Linked DNA regions of Callithrix jacchus. The protein of the gene in region 1 purifies or fractionates together with the protein of each later gene. This does not show direct contact. Links are inferred from orthologs where the notes say so. Each region holds a gene or a part of one and is shown on either strand. Other genes may lie near its edges.

The links.
Region 2: the proteins of ARID4A (region 1) and BRMS1 purify together in Homo sapiens (affinity purification with western blotting; 3 studies listed by BioGRID and IntAct, with this or other methods). This does not show direct contact. The link is inferred for Callithrix jacchus from reciprocal best matches to the Homo sapiens genes ARID4A and BRMS1.

What each region holds. Positions count from the first base shown.
Region 1 is NC_133509.1:92,948,788-92,956,369, forward strand, and holds the start of ARID4A (AT-rich interactive domain-containing protein 4A), read left to right. Parts: upstream 1-3,406; 5' UTR 3,407-3,563; intron 3,564-4,080; exon of another isoform or gene 4,081-4,550; intron 4,551-4,651; 5' UTR 4,652-4,708; coding exon 4,709-4,714; intron 4,715-6,467; coding exon 6,468-6,578; intron 6,579-7,582. Other genes in the region: uncharacterized protein LOC100895059, read right to left, coding at 1,756-1,808, 2,819-3,077.
Region 2 is NC_133511.1:123,420,912-123,428,743, forward strand, and holds the start of BRMS1 (breast cancer metastasis-suppressor 1), read right to left. Parts: upstream 4,295-7,832; 5' UTR 4,164-4,294; intron 2,457-4,163; exon of another isoform or gene 1,137-2,456; 5' UTR 1,130-1,136; coding exon 991-1,129; exon of another isoform or gene 1-990. Other genes in the region: B4GAT1 (beta-1,4-glucuronyltransferase 1), read right to left, coding at 5,223-5,414, 5,662-6,717; uncharacterized protein LOC118145537, read left to right, coding at 6,952-7,201. UniProt on the Homo sapiens protein: Transcriptional repressor. Down-regulates transcription activation by NF-kappa-B by promoting the deacetylation of RELA at 'Lys-310'. Promotes HDAC1 binding to promoter regions.

The DNA.
Region 1 (7,582 bases):
TCAAAAATAAAGCTAAAGAAAAACCAGAAAATAGGGTGGGGGGACAGTAATGAAAAGGACAATCAATGTTAAATGTAGTAAGAAAAGCTTTTTGATACACTACTGTATAAGCATCCCTAGCTTAAATATATAATACACACACACACACACACACACACACACACACACACACACGAGACAATGTCTCAACTGTTGCCCAGGCTGGAGTTTAGTAGCAAGACCACAGCACACTGCAGCCTTGACCTCCCCGGTCTCCAGTAATTCCCCAACCTCAGCCCTTGAATTAGCTGGCAACCACAGGTGCACGCCACCACTCTGGCTGATTCTTGCATTGTTTGTAGAGAGGAGGCAAGGAGAATCACTTGAACCGGGAGGCAGAGATTGCAGTGAGCCAAGATCGTGCCATTGCACTCCAGCCTGGGTGACAGAGCAAGACTGCACCTCAAAATAAATATATAAATAAATAAAATAAACATGAAATAAAAAGTAGTAAGTCATTGGCCAAAAAAAAAAAAAAACAACAACAAAGAAATGCCCAATAATATGATGTATAACATATCCATATTTAACAATGTAATCCAAAATCAAATGGCAAATGCCAATAATGCAAAAACCACAGTTATTTCTGCAACAACCTTCTTAGACACAGTATTTTGCAAAACACGTACAAGGATATTCACTGACCTAATACTGCTGTTATATAAAAATAAGCAGGTTACATAAGTTACGGTGTATTTATCCCACAAAACACTATGAAGACATAAAAGATGCTTTAAGACAAAATATTTTCAATGTTCCCAATGTCTACAAACAAAAATAGATGGTAAGAAAATGAGCAAAACTAGAATATTTTCTAAAACAAAACCAAGAAAGACAAAGCCTTTTGTGTAATATATAACTACAGTTTAAACTGTAACTATCTTTTGGTGGAGGGAAGAAATTTTTGTATTCTTCTTTGGGCTTTTTAGTAATATCCAAATGTCCATGGATTATTTGGATTAGATAATAACAGTTTAAACTTTGATAGTGGAATTACGGATGCTTACTCCCTGGAAAGTTCAGTAATATACTGTTTGTTTTAGAAGGTCTTCTAAAAAACTGCTTCACCCCTCAACATTCCTATTTACAAAATATTTTCTACATGAGAAATTTTTAAATAGGCGGGGTGAGTACCACAAAAATATGCATTTTTTTTTTTTTTTTGAGACGGAGTTTCGCTCTTATTACCCAGGCTGGAGTGCAATGGTGCGATCTCGGCTCACCACAACCTCTGCCTCCTGGGTTCAGGCCATTCTCCTGCCTCAGCCTCCCGAGTAGCTGAGATTACAAGTGCCCACCACCACACCCAGCTAATTTTTTGTATTTTTAGTAGAGACGAGGTTTCAGTATGTTGGTCAGGCTAGTGTCGGACTCCTGATCTCAGGTGATACACCAGCCTCGGCCTCCCAAAGTGCTGGTATTACAGGTGTGAGCCACTGAAATAAGCATGTTTTATGATAAAAACATTAGGTACTTCGAAATCCAGAAATGAGAACCACATAAATGGGTAAAGGAATCCGTAAGGATGTCCTAATTTTGGGATTTCACTCTAAAATATTACATCAGGAAGCTAATTATATAGACTCATGTAAATCTGAATAAACAAAACATCTTTCAACTACTTTTCGTCCATTCTAGTATTCCTCTACTAATCCATAGAAAGTTTTTCTATGGTCCCCCGTAATTCTAAGGATTTTTAGAGACATTATGACTCACCTCAGTAATGCTTTGAGATATCTGCCACTGAGATGTTGTTTTCTTCAGCACAACTGCCAAAAACCCAGTAATTGTTAAGTCACGCAACCATTTTCTAGTCTTGAGCTCCACCAATATAGCAGTACGGTTTAAAACAGATATTCAGGGTAATTATTAGCATCTATCCAGTGTGACTAGGTCACTCACTAGAAATACCAACATACATTTCACTTTCTTAATGAATACTTTTGAGCAAAATCCCTGTTATAAATAAAAAACTGATTCTGCTAAGACGTTTTCTTACTGAGAAAATTTAGTCCACGTGGAAAACTGACGATATGTCACATTTAAAAAACCATTCCATTCTATAAAACTAGACAATTTATATTCCAATTTCACTATTTAAAAATATGTGTCTTTCACCGAACAAAGCACAAGATGTTAACAAAACGAGATCAACGTCTATCTTATCTGGGAGGTTCTTGTGTTTAAGATGTTTTCAGTCCTGCAAAATCACTGTTTCCTTTCAAAAAGTAGCATAAGCCTCATGCAGAGTGACACACACGCTTGTCTAAGGTCAGAGAAGCAGCGTCTGCGCTGGCAAGTAAACTGCTCAGCATGCAGAAAGCCAGCGCTTTCTCCAGTTTCCTCACAGCTTTATCGCGCGAGAAGCACGCGGAAAGCTCTCTCCAAGCAGGATGTTTTTAAGAACCACTTCTTCCCTGTCTTAAAAGGCTCCCACAGCTGGTGCTAAACAGGTGGAGAATACGGCAAGTCCCCGAAATGCATTTCCAAAGACAGGAAGAACTGCTCAGAGAGTGACAGAATCCAGAAAATCTCTCACATTCTCTAGAGCCCAAACGATCACATCCAAGAAAGAGGTTTCTCTCTCCTCTACCTCTCTCTCTTTCTCTGGGCGGGAGAGGAAGCCTCGCCCCCTTTCATCCCACCCCTTCTCCCCTCCCCGCCGCCAAGAACTGATTTTAAACCATGGCTGCCCGCGGCCCCCTTACTTCCGGTGCCGGTGCCGCTAGAGCTGCGCCATCCCCCCAAGTCAATCGGACAACCACAGCCTCCAACTGACCTTTTGACAGCTCTGCGGCTCCTCCGTCCAAAACTAGGTGCTGTCCTTGAGGGAACGGTGGATGGCTGCCGCAGAAAAACGAATCTGCCAGATGAAAACTCCGTTTCCTTCTCGCCAGAAAACTAAAATGCGATGGAGCTGCGGCCACCGCTGCCGAGACAAAATGGCGCCGGGAAGCTGGTTTGGCGCAGGCGCATAGGAAAGACACTGCCCCGCCCCCGTGCAAGCCCCTGGCTGCAATTCTGGGTTCCGTTTCCATGGGACACTCCGCCGCCAATCCTCGTGCCGAACTGCTCTTCCTGACCCCACAATTCACCAATCAGTGCACAGTCAAGCACATCCGGAGTCGTGTCTACCAATCAATTCTCAGAACTTGCTTACTCAATAACCAACTCTCCAATAACGTTGGTCTTCAGAAAAAACCAATCATAAGTGGAAGATGTCCTACCTGCTGTTTTTCGCACCAATCCATGAAGTTTCAGAGCTACATCCAATGGGGACGGCAGGTAGCGAGGGCCTATCCGAAGCTCTTCGGCGTCATGAGCAGCCAATAGGAGTTCGTGTAGAAGCGAGTCGGCTCAACAGCTTGTTATTTGGTGGATTGTGGCAGTAAATCGGGGCGAGTGGGGAACCGGGCGCAGGAACTGTCGCCGCAGCCGGGAGTGGTGCTGCCCGGACGGGGGCCCACGGAGGTCAGAGGGACGGAGGACTCTGGAGCTGACAGCGCGCACTTCACTCGCAGTTGGTAGGTGGGGAGAGGGGAATCGGGGGATACTGAATGGACCTAGCGGCAGTAGCAGCTGCTGCTGCTGCTGCCCAGGGTCCCGGTGCAGTTGGAAGGTTTGGAGGTGGGGAGAGGGATGCTAGGCAAGTGGTGCGGCTAGCGCAAGGGAAGGGGCCAGCCGTGGAGCAGTGGCAGCAACTGTGGGAACCGCCGCCGCCGCTGCAGCTGCCTCCTCGTCCGCTTCCCCGGGTTCCCGGGAAAATGGCTGTGGGGCTGGCTGCGCCGCTAAGTTTGCTTCCGCGCGGTAGAAGCGGGCTGCTTGGAGGAGCCGTCCCCCAACTCTGCGGTGCGTCCACCCCTGCGGAGTCCGTGGCAGGACTCGAGGGGCTGGGGGCTGATACCTCTCTGGGCTGTACAAAAAGTTGAGGCGGGCGCGGGGAGGAGGCGGCGGCTGCTGCGGTGCGGTTCCCCTCCCCTCCCACACCCTGTCCGGGCCACCTCCCCTCCTCCTCCTCTCCGCCCCCGCCCCCTCCCCCGCGCAGTTCTCCCGGGGCTCTGGAGGCTCCCGACTGAAGGCCGCGGCCCCTGCCCCTTCGGGTGAAGGAGCGCTTCTCCTTCCTGACATGGTGCAGAACGAAGGAACGAGAGCAATGGCGCCGTGACACTCCGCTGCCGCCACCGCGGGCCCGGGGCGGGCCAAGGGGGCCGAGCGGCGGAGGCGGGGCGCGGGCCGAAGTCGGGGTATCCGGGGGACAGCGGAGCGTAGGCTTGGCGGTCGCCTCCGCGGGGGACCTGGGGAAGCCCGAACGGCGCCTTGCCCTTTTCCCGAGCTATCTGTCCTGGGGCTCCGAGTTGAGCATTCCGGGTCCGAGTGGCCATCGAGGCGGGGGCGCGGTGGGCCGCTGGCGAGCTCCGGGGCGGAACGAGCTGCCCTTTGGCGCGCTGGGGTTCTAGCTGCCCCTTCAGATCCTGCGTCCGCCCTTGGAGAGGGGTCTTGTCCCTTGACCGGTGAGAATTCTGCCCCGCCCGCTGGCGTTTGTTTACTTTCTTTCCCTTGGTCGCTCCCCGCAGTTGACTGATTCTGTGCCGGTCTTTCTCCCTCCCCGTAGTTCTAGCGACTGCAAAGATAGCTCGCTGAGCTGGAACCCCACAGATCACCAACAAAAATGAAGGTAAGTGGAGTCAACGCTGCCCCTATCCTCGTGCCCTGGACACTGCCAGTTGTGAGACTAGTGCCGTGGAATGTCATTTGTTTGCTACTCAAAATTGATGTCCCTGCTGAGCAGCAGTTTCGGCAAAGGAGGATGTGTTGAATGGGTGAGAAATGATCTGTGTGTCTAAATGCGGAGTTTGGGCCCTCTCTGTAGCAGCCTTTCAGTTGTTGTCCATTAGGATAGTATTTTTAAACACTTCCTGTGTTGGCAGCAACCTTTGCAGAAGTAAAGCTTTTGTCCTGCTTTGGTTCTTTGGGGGATTTTTTGAAAATTTTTTTCTTCCCCAGTGCCAATGTGATTTTCTAAGAGAAAGAATACATGGATTAAGTAATGAAGGTATCATTTCTTCTGTGTGTTTAGTGAATTCATGTGGATAAAATATTTGAAGTTGAACTATATTATAGTTTTAGTTAAATCTGTACAGTAAATATTTTAAAACATATTCTGACCCTAAAAAGATATATATTCTACTGAGAATGACTGCAAATAACAGTATGTGGATGGTTAAAGGGAAAGGATCTCATATAACATTCTTGAATGCTGTGGCCATTGAACGTTTCAGGTCAGATTTTTATTTGCCAAAAGCGTTCCTATTCAATTTGTATTTCTTGTAAATGCACTTACTTTAAAAGGTACCTAGTTCCTATCTTATTTACTGTTTCAGTGTATTAAGCTCTGAAACACAGCATTTTCCCAAACTTTCTCCTGGTTTTCTATTTTCTCGAAGTAAATGATGTATTTAACTTTCTTTAATATTACTTGGGAAAACTTATTGGAAAACAAAAATAAAAACATTTTCTACTTAAAAATGTATCTCCAAAGTATACATTGTTACCTTTGCATTTAACAATGTTAAGTTGAACTTGTATGGTTACACTTTAACTTCTGGGAAGAAAAAAAAGGTAAAATGACAGATTGAGATAACAATCATCCTGTTACCATCAAGATTAAAATAAGTGGTAGAGTGAAATTTCTCACATCTTTCGATGTATCATTCTGATCATGTCCGTTTGCTAAACGTAGATATTTATTAGTAATGCTTATATATTTATACCAAGAAGATTAGTGGGGTAAACTAGGTATGTCTACGAGTCTTGAGCCATGGGTTCATATCTGCATTCATTGGCTGAATTGAAACTTAAAACCTTTCAAATGCAGCTTTTAGCCAATGAATTTTCCAAATTATACTCTCCTTATGAAAAGATGTTATCTTTACATAGCTATGTCAATGAACAATTATGTATTTTTAGTGTTAGTTTTAGTAGCAATATTTATTTTAATTTGAAATTTAATTTTATTTATTAAAATTTTTAATAATTCTATAATAAAAAATTTATTTTCAGGAGGATATAAATGAATAACTTAATTTTATGATATGTGTAATATGAAATATTTTCCTGCCATTTCTTATTTTTCTGCTTATATAAATAGTAGAATTTTTTAAAAATTTTGTATCTGGAGAAAAACATTGTATTTCGTCACCGATAATTTTGAATTACAACTTTAAAACATTTTATCGCATAAGGACATCAGTATGTAAAATAAAGAGTTGCTGATCAAGTGTTTGCTTTAGGGTATTTTTCAAATTTTCAGTGATACTAGTAAGTTATTTTAATATTCTTAATGCTTCAAACACAATCTTTTAATGACACTCGAGGTTGGAGCAGGGAGACATAGTAATGACATTCACAGTTTATGTTCTTTTCACCAGGCGGCGGATGAGCCTGCCTACCTGACAGTGGGAACTGATGTCAGTGCCAAGTACCGAGGTGCCTTCTGTGAGGCAAAGATTAAGACTGTGAAAAGGCTGGTGAAAGTTAAGGTAATATTTGTTTTTATGCAATAGTTTTATTAACTCTAGATTGAAGAAAGTTGGGGAGAGACTGCAAATCAGGATTTTATTGAGTCATTATATAAAGATACTTTATATACTAAACTTACAGGAAAAGCACATTAAAAATTGAGAAATAAAGAACTTGGCTGGTGGCTCACGCCTGTAATCCCAACACTTTGGGAGGCTGAAGCCAGCAGATCACGAGGTCAAGATATCAAGACTATCCTGGCCAACATGGTGAAACCCTGTCTCTACTAAAAATACAAAAAAATTAGCTAGGCGTCGTGCCTGTGCCTGTAGTCTCAGCTACTTGAGACTGAGGCAGGAGAATCGCTGGAACCTGGGTGGAGGAGGTTGCAGTGAGCCAAGATCACACAACTGCACTCTAGTCTGGTGACAGAGCGAGACTCCCATCTCAAAAAAAAAAAAAAAAATAGCTAGGTGTGGTGGCTCATGCCTGTAATCCCAGCACTTGGGAGGTGGAGTTCGAGACCAGCCAGACCAACATGGAGAAACCATTTCCCTACTAAAAATACAAAATTAGCCAGCATGGTGGCGCATGTCTGTAATCTCAGCTACTTGGGGGGCTGAGGCAGGAGAATCTCTTGAACCTGGGAGGTGTAGGTTGCGGTGAGCCAACAATGCCATTACACTCCAGCCTGGCTGACGAGTGAAACTCCAGCTCCAAAAAAAAAACCCTCAAAAAGGGAAATTATTCCAAAATGCTACCACCAACAAAATGCTACCACTAAAATACCATGCTAATGATATTTTCTGTCATTTGGATCTTAACTATTTGTGGAAGCATACTTGGACTGTAATCTATTTTCTTTCCTTTTATAATGTTCAGGTAGAGACAATTTCAGTGTTTAAGACAATACAAATACAATGGGAATTGGTTTTCAAGATAGTGTAAAAAAGCATTTAAGAAGTTAACTTTGGGCTGGGCGTAATCCCAGCACTGAGGGAGGGCGAAGTGAGCAGTCTTGGCC
Region 2 (7,832 bases), on another chromosome or scaffold:
GCTGTGTGTGCATGTGCGTGCTTGTGTGTGTGTGTGTGTGTGCGCGCGCGTCCAGGCTCTGGCAGTCCTCCTCCAGTCTCTGGCTCTGCTCTTGCAGCTCCCCCTGAAGCATGTTGTAAAGCAAGCTGGTGCAATCTTGTGTGTGTGTTTGTGTGTAGACGCTGTGTGCATGTGTGCTTGTGTGTAGAGGCTGTTTGTGTATATGTGTGCATGCTTGTGTGCAGAGGCTGTGTGTGTGTGCATGTGTACTTTGTGGAGGCTGTGTATGTGTGTGCTTGTTTGTAGAGGCTATGTGTGTGTGCGTGCTTGTGTGTAGAGGCTGTGTGGGTGTGCATGTGTACTTGTGTGTAGAGGTTGTGTGCATGTGTGCTTGTGTGTAGAGGCTGTGTGTGTGTGCATGTGTGTAGGGGCTGTGTGTGCGTGTGTGCTTCTGTGTAGGGGTGGTGTGTGCATGTGCATGTGTGCTCGTGTGTAGGGGCTATCTGTGCACGTGCATGTGTGCCTGTGCACAGGGGCTGTGTATGCATGTGTGCGTGTGTGGGAGCTGTGTATTTGTGTAAGGGCTGTGTGTGCTTATGTGTAGAGGCTGTGTGTGCATGTGTGCTTGTGTGTAGGGGCTATATATGCACGTGCATGTGTGTGTGCTTGTGTGTAGGGGCTGTGTTTGCGTGTGTGCTTGTGTGTAGGGGCTGTGTGTTGTGTGTAGGAGCTGTGTGCATGTGTGCTTGTGAGTAGGGGCTGTGTGTGCATGTGTGTAGGGGTTGTGTGTGCATGTGTGTGTGTGTGTAGGAGCTGTGTGTGCATGTGTGCATGTAGGAGCTGTGTGTGCATGCGTGCTTATGTGGAGGGGTGGTGTGTGCATGCGTGCTTATGTGGAGGGGTGGTGTGTGCTTGTGTGTAGGGGCTGTGTGTAGGGGCTGTGCGTGCGTGTACATGCATGCTTGTGTGTAGGGGCTGTGTGTGTGTGTGTGTGTGTGTGCAGGGGCTCACCAGAGCTCTCCTCTTCTGACTCCGTCTGGCTGCCGCTCCGCTCCTCCTCACTCTCTTCCTCCTCCCCATTCATCTCAGCAGCCGAATCACCCTCTGCTTCCATCTCTTCTGTGTCTTTGCTTGGAGGCTGGACAGGCATCTGGACTCTGGGAGAAGGAATGAAGCCATCACTCACAGCTGCCCTCTGTTCAGAGGGGGAAAGAGGCAGTGGGGAGCTGAACCCGACCAGACCCCAGATTGGGACAGCCAGGAAGTGACTGGCCTGGCCACACCTTGAGCACATACTGGGTAATAAGGGTGCAAATGGCCATCTGCACCTCTCACAGAAGCCTGGGAGCTGTGGAAATGCTCCTGCTCTTGGATGTCACTGGTGATCCTAATCCTGGGAATACTGGCCAAGGCTGTGATCCACAGAAAGGAAAGGCCTAGGGGGCACTCTCCACTGCCTATGGAACTGGACCTAAATTTTTATTTTCTCTTTTTGAGACAGTCTCGCTCTGTCGCCCAGGCTGGAGTGAGTGCCGCGATCTCGGCTCACTGCAACCTCCACCTCCTGGGTTCAAGTGATTCTCCTGCCTCAGCCTCCCAAGTAGCTAAGATTACAGGTGCCTGCCACTATGCCCAGTTAATTTTTTGTATTTTTAGTAGAGACAGGATCTCACCATGTTGGCCAGGCTGGTTTCCAACTCCTGATCTTGTGATTCGCCCACCTCAGCCTTCCAAAGTGCTAGGATTACAGGCATGAGCCACCACACCCAGCCAATTTTCATTCTTTTTTTTTGAGACAGAGTCTCACTCTGTCACCAGGCTAGAGTGGCATGAGTTCGGCTCACTGCAACCTCCACCTCCTGGGTTCAAGCAATTCTCCTGGCTCAGCCTCCTGAGTAGCTGGGATTACAGGTGTGTGCCACCATATCTGAACTGGATCTACATTTCTGACCGGGGCTTTCAAGGTCTTTCACAGACTGCACTTGCCCTCCCGGTCCAGCTCCTTCATCCCACCATCTAACGGCCAGTGCTTGCACTTTCACTTTCTGCCCTCTGCCTCAGCTGTTCCTTCTCCCTATAATGCCCTCAGCTTCTCTTCTGGATACCATTACAATCCCCTTGTCTTTCACTGTGCTCTGGGTCAAATCCCATTTCCTTCTGCCTCCTCTAGGACCTCAGGTCATCAGTGCTCCCCTCTCTCTTTTGTGTCTTCAGCTTCTCCCTCTTAGCAACCTCCTTCCCATGAAACTTTCAATGTGCTTGAGTATTTTCTACCATTAACAAAACACAGAAACACAAAACCTCACCCTTCCACCTGACTGCTCCCTGTCTGCCAGTTCAGTTATACTTTTCAAGGTTTCATGCACACTGGCTGTTCCTAGTTTCACCTTCCACTTGTTCGATGTGTTTCTGTACCCATCGATCTCAGCTGAAACTGATCCTGTACCATTAACCAGTGACTTCCTTATGGGTAATGACAATATTTTTCAGTGCTTATTTCAATTGTCTGCTCGGCAACACTGAACACTGGTAAGCATTCTTTTACTGACTCATCTAACATGTATTGAACATCTAATATATGCTAGGTACTGTCAGGCACTATGGTATGCAGGGGCCCCAAGTGTGACTGTCTTTGACCTCACGGAGTTTACAAGTTCTTGGGAGACAGGGGCAAAGGAGCAGACTATAACTCTGGTATGAGGAGAGTTAAGACCAGGGTATAAGGGAGGGGTATGTAACCAGGACCTGAAGCCTGATGCAGTAGGGAGGGCTTCTAGATGAAGATGGACCAGCTGGGTGAGCTGTGCTGATTGAGTGAGGGAATATTCCAGATCGAGTTAGTAGCAAAGACCCAGAATAAGAGAAGGAAAGCAGCTGGGGTACATGGGTCTAAATCTCAGTGAGAAATCTGAGCTGCAGAGGTTTGGTCATCGGCCTACAGCAAGTTCTTCATGCCACAGGAGAAGGTGCAAGTATCAAGGCAGAATGTGTGTGGTCAGAAGACATCCACAATGGGACTCCCAGGGTCACCAAAGAGGCAGATGAGGAGACTCCTACAAAGGCAGAGGCAAACCCGAAGTCTTGGAGAAAGAATTTCAGAAGGAAGCCAAGTACTTCCCAGCAGTAATTGTACCGATAGTGCCAAGTACTGCCAAGAGATCACCCAAAAGGAAGAATAACCAGTCCTCTCAGCAGATAAGCTCTCGGCCCCCTGCAGGTTCTATTTCGCTGTGATATTCTTCCAGCTTCTCTGGACACTGCTTTGTAGTCCTTTAGAACAGTGCAGACAGCACTCCCTCCAGGAAGCTTTATTTATATCTCCTATTTGCCCATTCTCCCGTCTGTCCTCCCAATCAGCCTATGAGCCTCATTAGGGCAGGGGCTGCACATGCGTCTTATTTGCCTAGCATAGTACTAGCTCACTTGATGACTGGAGGATTTGCAAATACAAATTTAACAACAACAACAACAACAACAAAATTGTGAGGCAGAGATTAGCTTTTACTTTTTGGTAGTCCCAGGTCCCTGTAATGGTAGCAAACTGTCCTTGACACCGATTCAAGTTGTGCATTGTAAGGCTGGCCTAGGTGAGCGTTCACATTCCTCAACAATTTCACTAATGACCTCAACCTGACCTGAAAAGCTCAGTTCTCCAAGCCAGTTCCCAACATTTGCAATGCCTCTTCACTGTTAGTATATTCACTTTGTAAGACGCAGCGTAAGTCCTATCTCTTCCAGAAGCCTTTCTCTCCTCCCGCTGGTTCTGATTATAAGTGAGTTAAGTCACAACCTTCCCTCCTTGCCCCGGGTGCAAAAAACAGGTAACTATTCCTACTCTGAGTGTTGAAGAGCTCGCAGGTGGTAAGGGATGGAAAAGCACATTGTAAAGCGCTGTACACAGGCAATTTATCTTTTCAGAATGGCAGCTCCTCCGGGGCAGGCGCCCAGGGAAGGCAGACCCTCCCCACTCTCACACAGGTCAACCCAACTTTTCCGCAGCGCCCAGGGAGCCTCCTGCTCCCTTCTAGATGAGCCGGCACGGGCCGGAACATTCCTGGCTGGCCCGCGGCCCAGCACGCGTCAGGTCGGTTAAATCGCTGCTTCGGGCTCGGAGGAGGAGATTGTGCCGGCTCTGCTGGACTAACCCGAGAGGCTGAACAAAAGCCATGCATGGCGATACGCACCGCGGGGACTGGGGCCTCTGGCCTCACGACCGAGATTCCCTGAGAGGTGCCCGTGGTTGCCGGTACCGGCTGCTGCCGCCGGCCTCCCGTAAGACCTGCGCGGCTCCCTCTTCTCGAGGAGGCAGAGCCTCGGTGCTTCCGTGTGCTTCATCAGGACGCGACCGTCGACGGTGTTCACAATTGGACAGTTGGGTCCCGAGGCATGCTGGGATACCGCGGGCCGGTCTCCATAGCAACCGGCCGACGTTCACGCAGGCCTTTGGCCTGCAAGGAAGGCCCTGAGGTTTCAGTGCTTTGCAGGCGGCGACCTTCGTCCGTGGCCACCTCCCCACCGTGTGCAAGGGGAGAACCCGGCCCCGATCCCTCCACCCCCAGCTCAAGAGAGTAACGGAGCCAGCTGTGGGTGTGAACACTCATTTATTTACACATTGTCATCGGTAGGCACATACTCAGCCCGGCCTGTTGAAGGGACAGATCTGAGGCTGTCACCCATGGGGCCTGCAGACCCTGCCCTCCTTCAGAGCTCCTGAGGCCGAAGGCCTGAGAGAACCAGGAATTTTAGGCTTCTGCCCAAGAGCTAAGAACTAAATTTTATGCCTTCATCTGATTTCTTTCCAAAAAGTCCATTTCATTAAGTACTCAGCCTTCTTAGCTCCATCCCATTCATACTTTTTGCTCTCCTACCCACCCAAGATTGTTAATAACAATAATAATAATACTGTGATAATATTAATACTTCACATTTGTACGAAGCTTACAGAATGTTTTCACATATAGCGTCTCATCTGAGCCTCCCAACAGTTCTGTGAGGTAGGTATTTTCACCTCCCTTTTTACAGACAGGGTAACTGAGGCCCAGAGAGGTAACGGGATTTACTCAAGGCCACACAGCTAGTTAGTGGTAAAGCTAGGACTAAATCCCAGCACCCCATATTCAAGTCCAGTGTTTCAACACCACAGCTACCTCTGTAAAGTAGAGTCACATTTCTTACCCCAGTCAGGCCTAAGGGTGGCCTGAGGAGCCAAGAGGCTAACTTCTCAGACCAGGGGAGGGAAGGGCTCAGCAGCGTCGGGGAGAGTTGGGGTACTTGGCCTTCAACTCCTGTTTGAACTGGCGATAAAGGATCTTATTGTGCTGATTTTCAGCCTCCTTTTGGGGATGGAACTTCAACGCTTCTTTGAAGCCCTTATGAACCAAGAAACCTTCGTTCAGGACCTCAAAATCAAACCCCACCATGTGCAGCTCGCAGGCCTGTAGGGGGAAAGACGGGTCAGCAAAATTTGATGACATTTACAGGGCTGAGACTGACTTCCCTCAAGCCACAGTCCAGCATCCTCACCCCTCTGGAAGCATCCTGGATCTTCCATACTATCCACTCACCTACTAAACTATGATCCCTCCTGCTTCACTGCCTCTTTTCCATCCAGGGCCACTCCTCGTAACTCCCTGATCCCACCACCCCTCCTGCCCCAACCCCTGCCCTCTCCCTTATGAGCACCTGGCTGATTCGGTTGAAGCCGTACTGCCGAAAGCGCTCGTCAAAGGTGGGCACCTTGCCTCCTGCCACGTAGAATGGCTCCCAGGGGTCCTGCCAAGGCACCACGTAGGCAGGCCGCAGCAGGCTCTCTTCTGGCAGGTTGACCCAACGGGAATAATTGGTGGGTGCCTGGCAGGGGGTGCACAGCCCATAATAGAAGGGCCGAACCTCGCCCACCTGGTAGAGCTGCACCAGCTCGTTTTTGTTCATGGGCATGCGGCGGGCTCGTCGGATCTCGAAGGCAGGCACGACGAGCGCGGTGCCTCCCCACTGGTTGCTCTGATCCAGCATTTCCCGCAGGCCTCTCCACAGTCCCTCGCTGGGCACCATGTCCACATCGATCACCAGGGCATAGTTGGCCCCCTCACGAGCCAAATTCCTCAGCAGATTATTAGGGTAGGAGACATTGGTGCCTAGCGCATAATTAATCCCGGGCTGTGCCACCCTGGCTAGCTTGTCAAAGACCTCCTGACAGGACCGCAGCAGGGCAAACTCCCCTGGCTCCCGGGGGTCAGGCACAGCTGCCTCGTAACGCGAGGGGCACACGAGGTGCATGGCAACCCTGGCGCGCATGTCGGGACAGTGGCTGCTTAGCGCGTAGGCCAGCACCGTGGCCAGCTGCGCCTCCTCCTTGGTGGCCGCGAACACCGACACGGACAGCGGGCCCTCCCAGCGCTCCAGCAGACCCGACAGGTGCAGCAGGTTGTCCACGCTGGCGTGCGTGGCCAGGATCACATCGTTGGGGTCCAGGGTCGTCTTCAGCAGGCCCCTGTAGACGCGGTAATCGCCGCTGGCGTCCAGGACGCCTCCGGAGGCCAGCGCTGTGCGGAGCTGGGCCTTGACCTGGTCCACGGACCGTGGGGACGGGGGAAAGAACTCAAAATATTGGTCTTGCTCCTCCTGCCCATGTAGTCCGGACAGCAGCGACAGGTAGAGCAGCTGCAGCATCGCCACCAGCATGAGCGCGGCCAGCAGCAGCTGGTAGAAGGCGCACCGGATGGCGTAGGACATCTGCATGGTTCTCCGGGCTCGGGGCGCGCAGCAAAGACCACCGGCCACAGACTACGCCAACCGCCGCAAGCCCGGATTTACCGCAGCCTGCCGAGCGCAGCCGAGACGAGCCGAGGCTAGCCGAGCCCCGCGCACCGCCCCGCCCGCCGCCTGCCACCGCCCCCAGCCCCAGAAGCGCCAGCTCGCCCCCTGCGAGGGGGGAGGAGCCACGGCCTCACCGCCCGGCCGCGCGCGGTGCAGATGTCCCGCCCGCCCGGGCCCCGCCGGCTTCCCGGGACGCGCGCTCCTTCTTCCCCGCCGGCGCGCGCACCCCGGACCGAGCGCGCCCTGAACGTCTGGCGCGCTCGGCCGGACTCTGAGGAACCCGCGGCAGAGCTCGGCTGCAGCATGGTGAAGGATGGCGCGGGCTCCCGGCTGAAAGGAAATCAAAACGCTCCTTTCCTCCCGCGGCTTCTCTTTTCCCCGGGTCCGAGGAGGTTGGCGTTGCCAGGTGGGTGGCAGTGCTCGGAAGGTGCGGAGGAGATGAGAGATAAGGGAATGTGGAAAGAGCTGTTCCACGTAGGACGAGGTGGCCGAGTGGTTAAGGCGATGGACTGCTAATCCATTGTGCTTTGCACGCGTGGGTTCGAATCCCATCCTCGTCGGCCCTATTTTATAGGGGGGAAAAAGCACCTAAATTTTCACTTCTGCCTGTTTGGAGCAGCAAGCTAGAGAAAACTGAACTGGGGGTGCGAGTGGGGAAGGCATCTTAATTTTCACATTCTGCCTGTTTAGAGCAGCAAGCTGACGAAAACTAAACTGGGGGTGAGAGTGGAATTCTATCCCAAGTCTCTCTGGTCTATCCACCACGCATCTCCTGCCTGCTCCTACTGCAGGTGTCTGTAGCTCTGGGCTACAAATGGACAAAAAACCAAAGGTGTTTTCTTTCTCTTTATAAAGAGGGCCCAGGGGTTGGTGGCACAGAAAAGACTAGAACTGGGATTCTGGCCAGTGCGAAGTTGGGGTAGCTCCCTGTCCGAAGTAGTGGTACTTGGGGTTGGGGGAAGGGTGGTAGTGGTGTTTGATCATTTAAATTGTTACTCCACTCAGCCTGTGGATTTCTCCCACTCCCCAGCACTTCT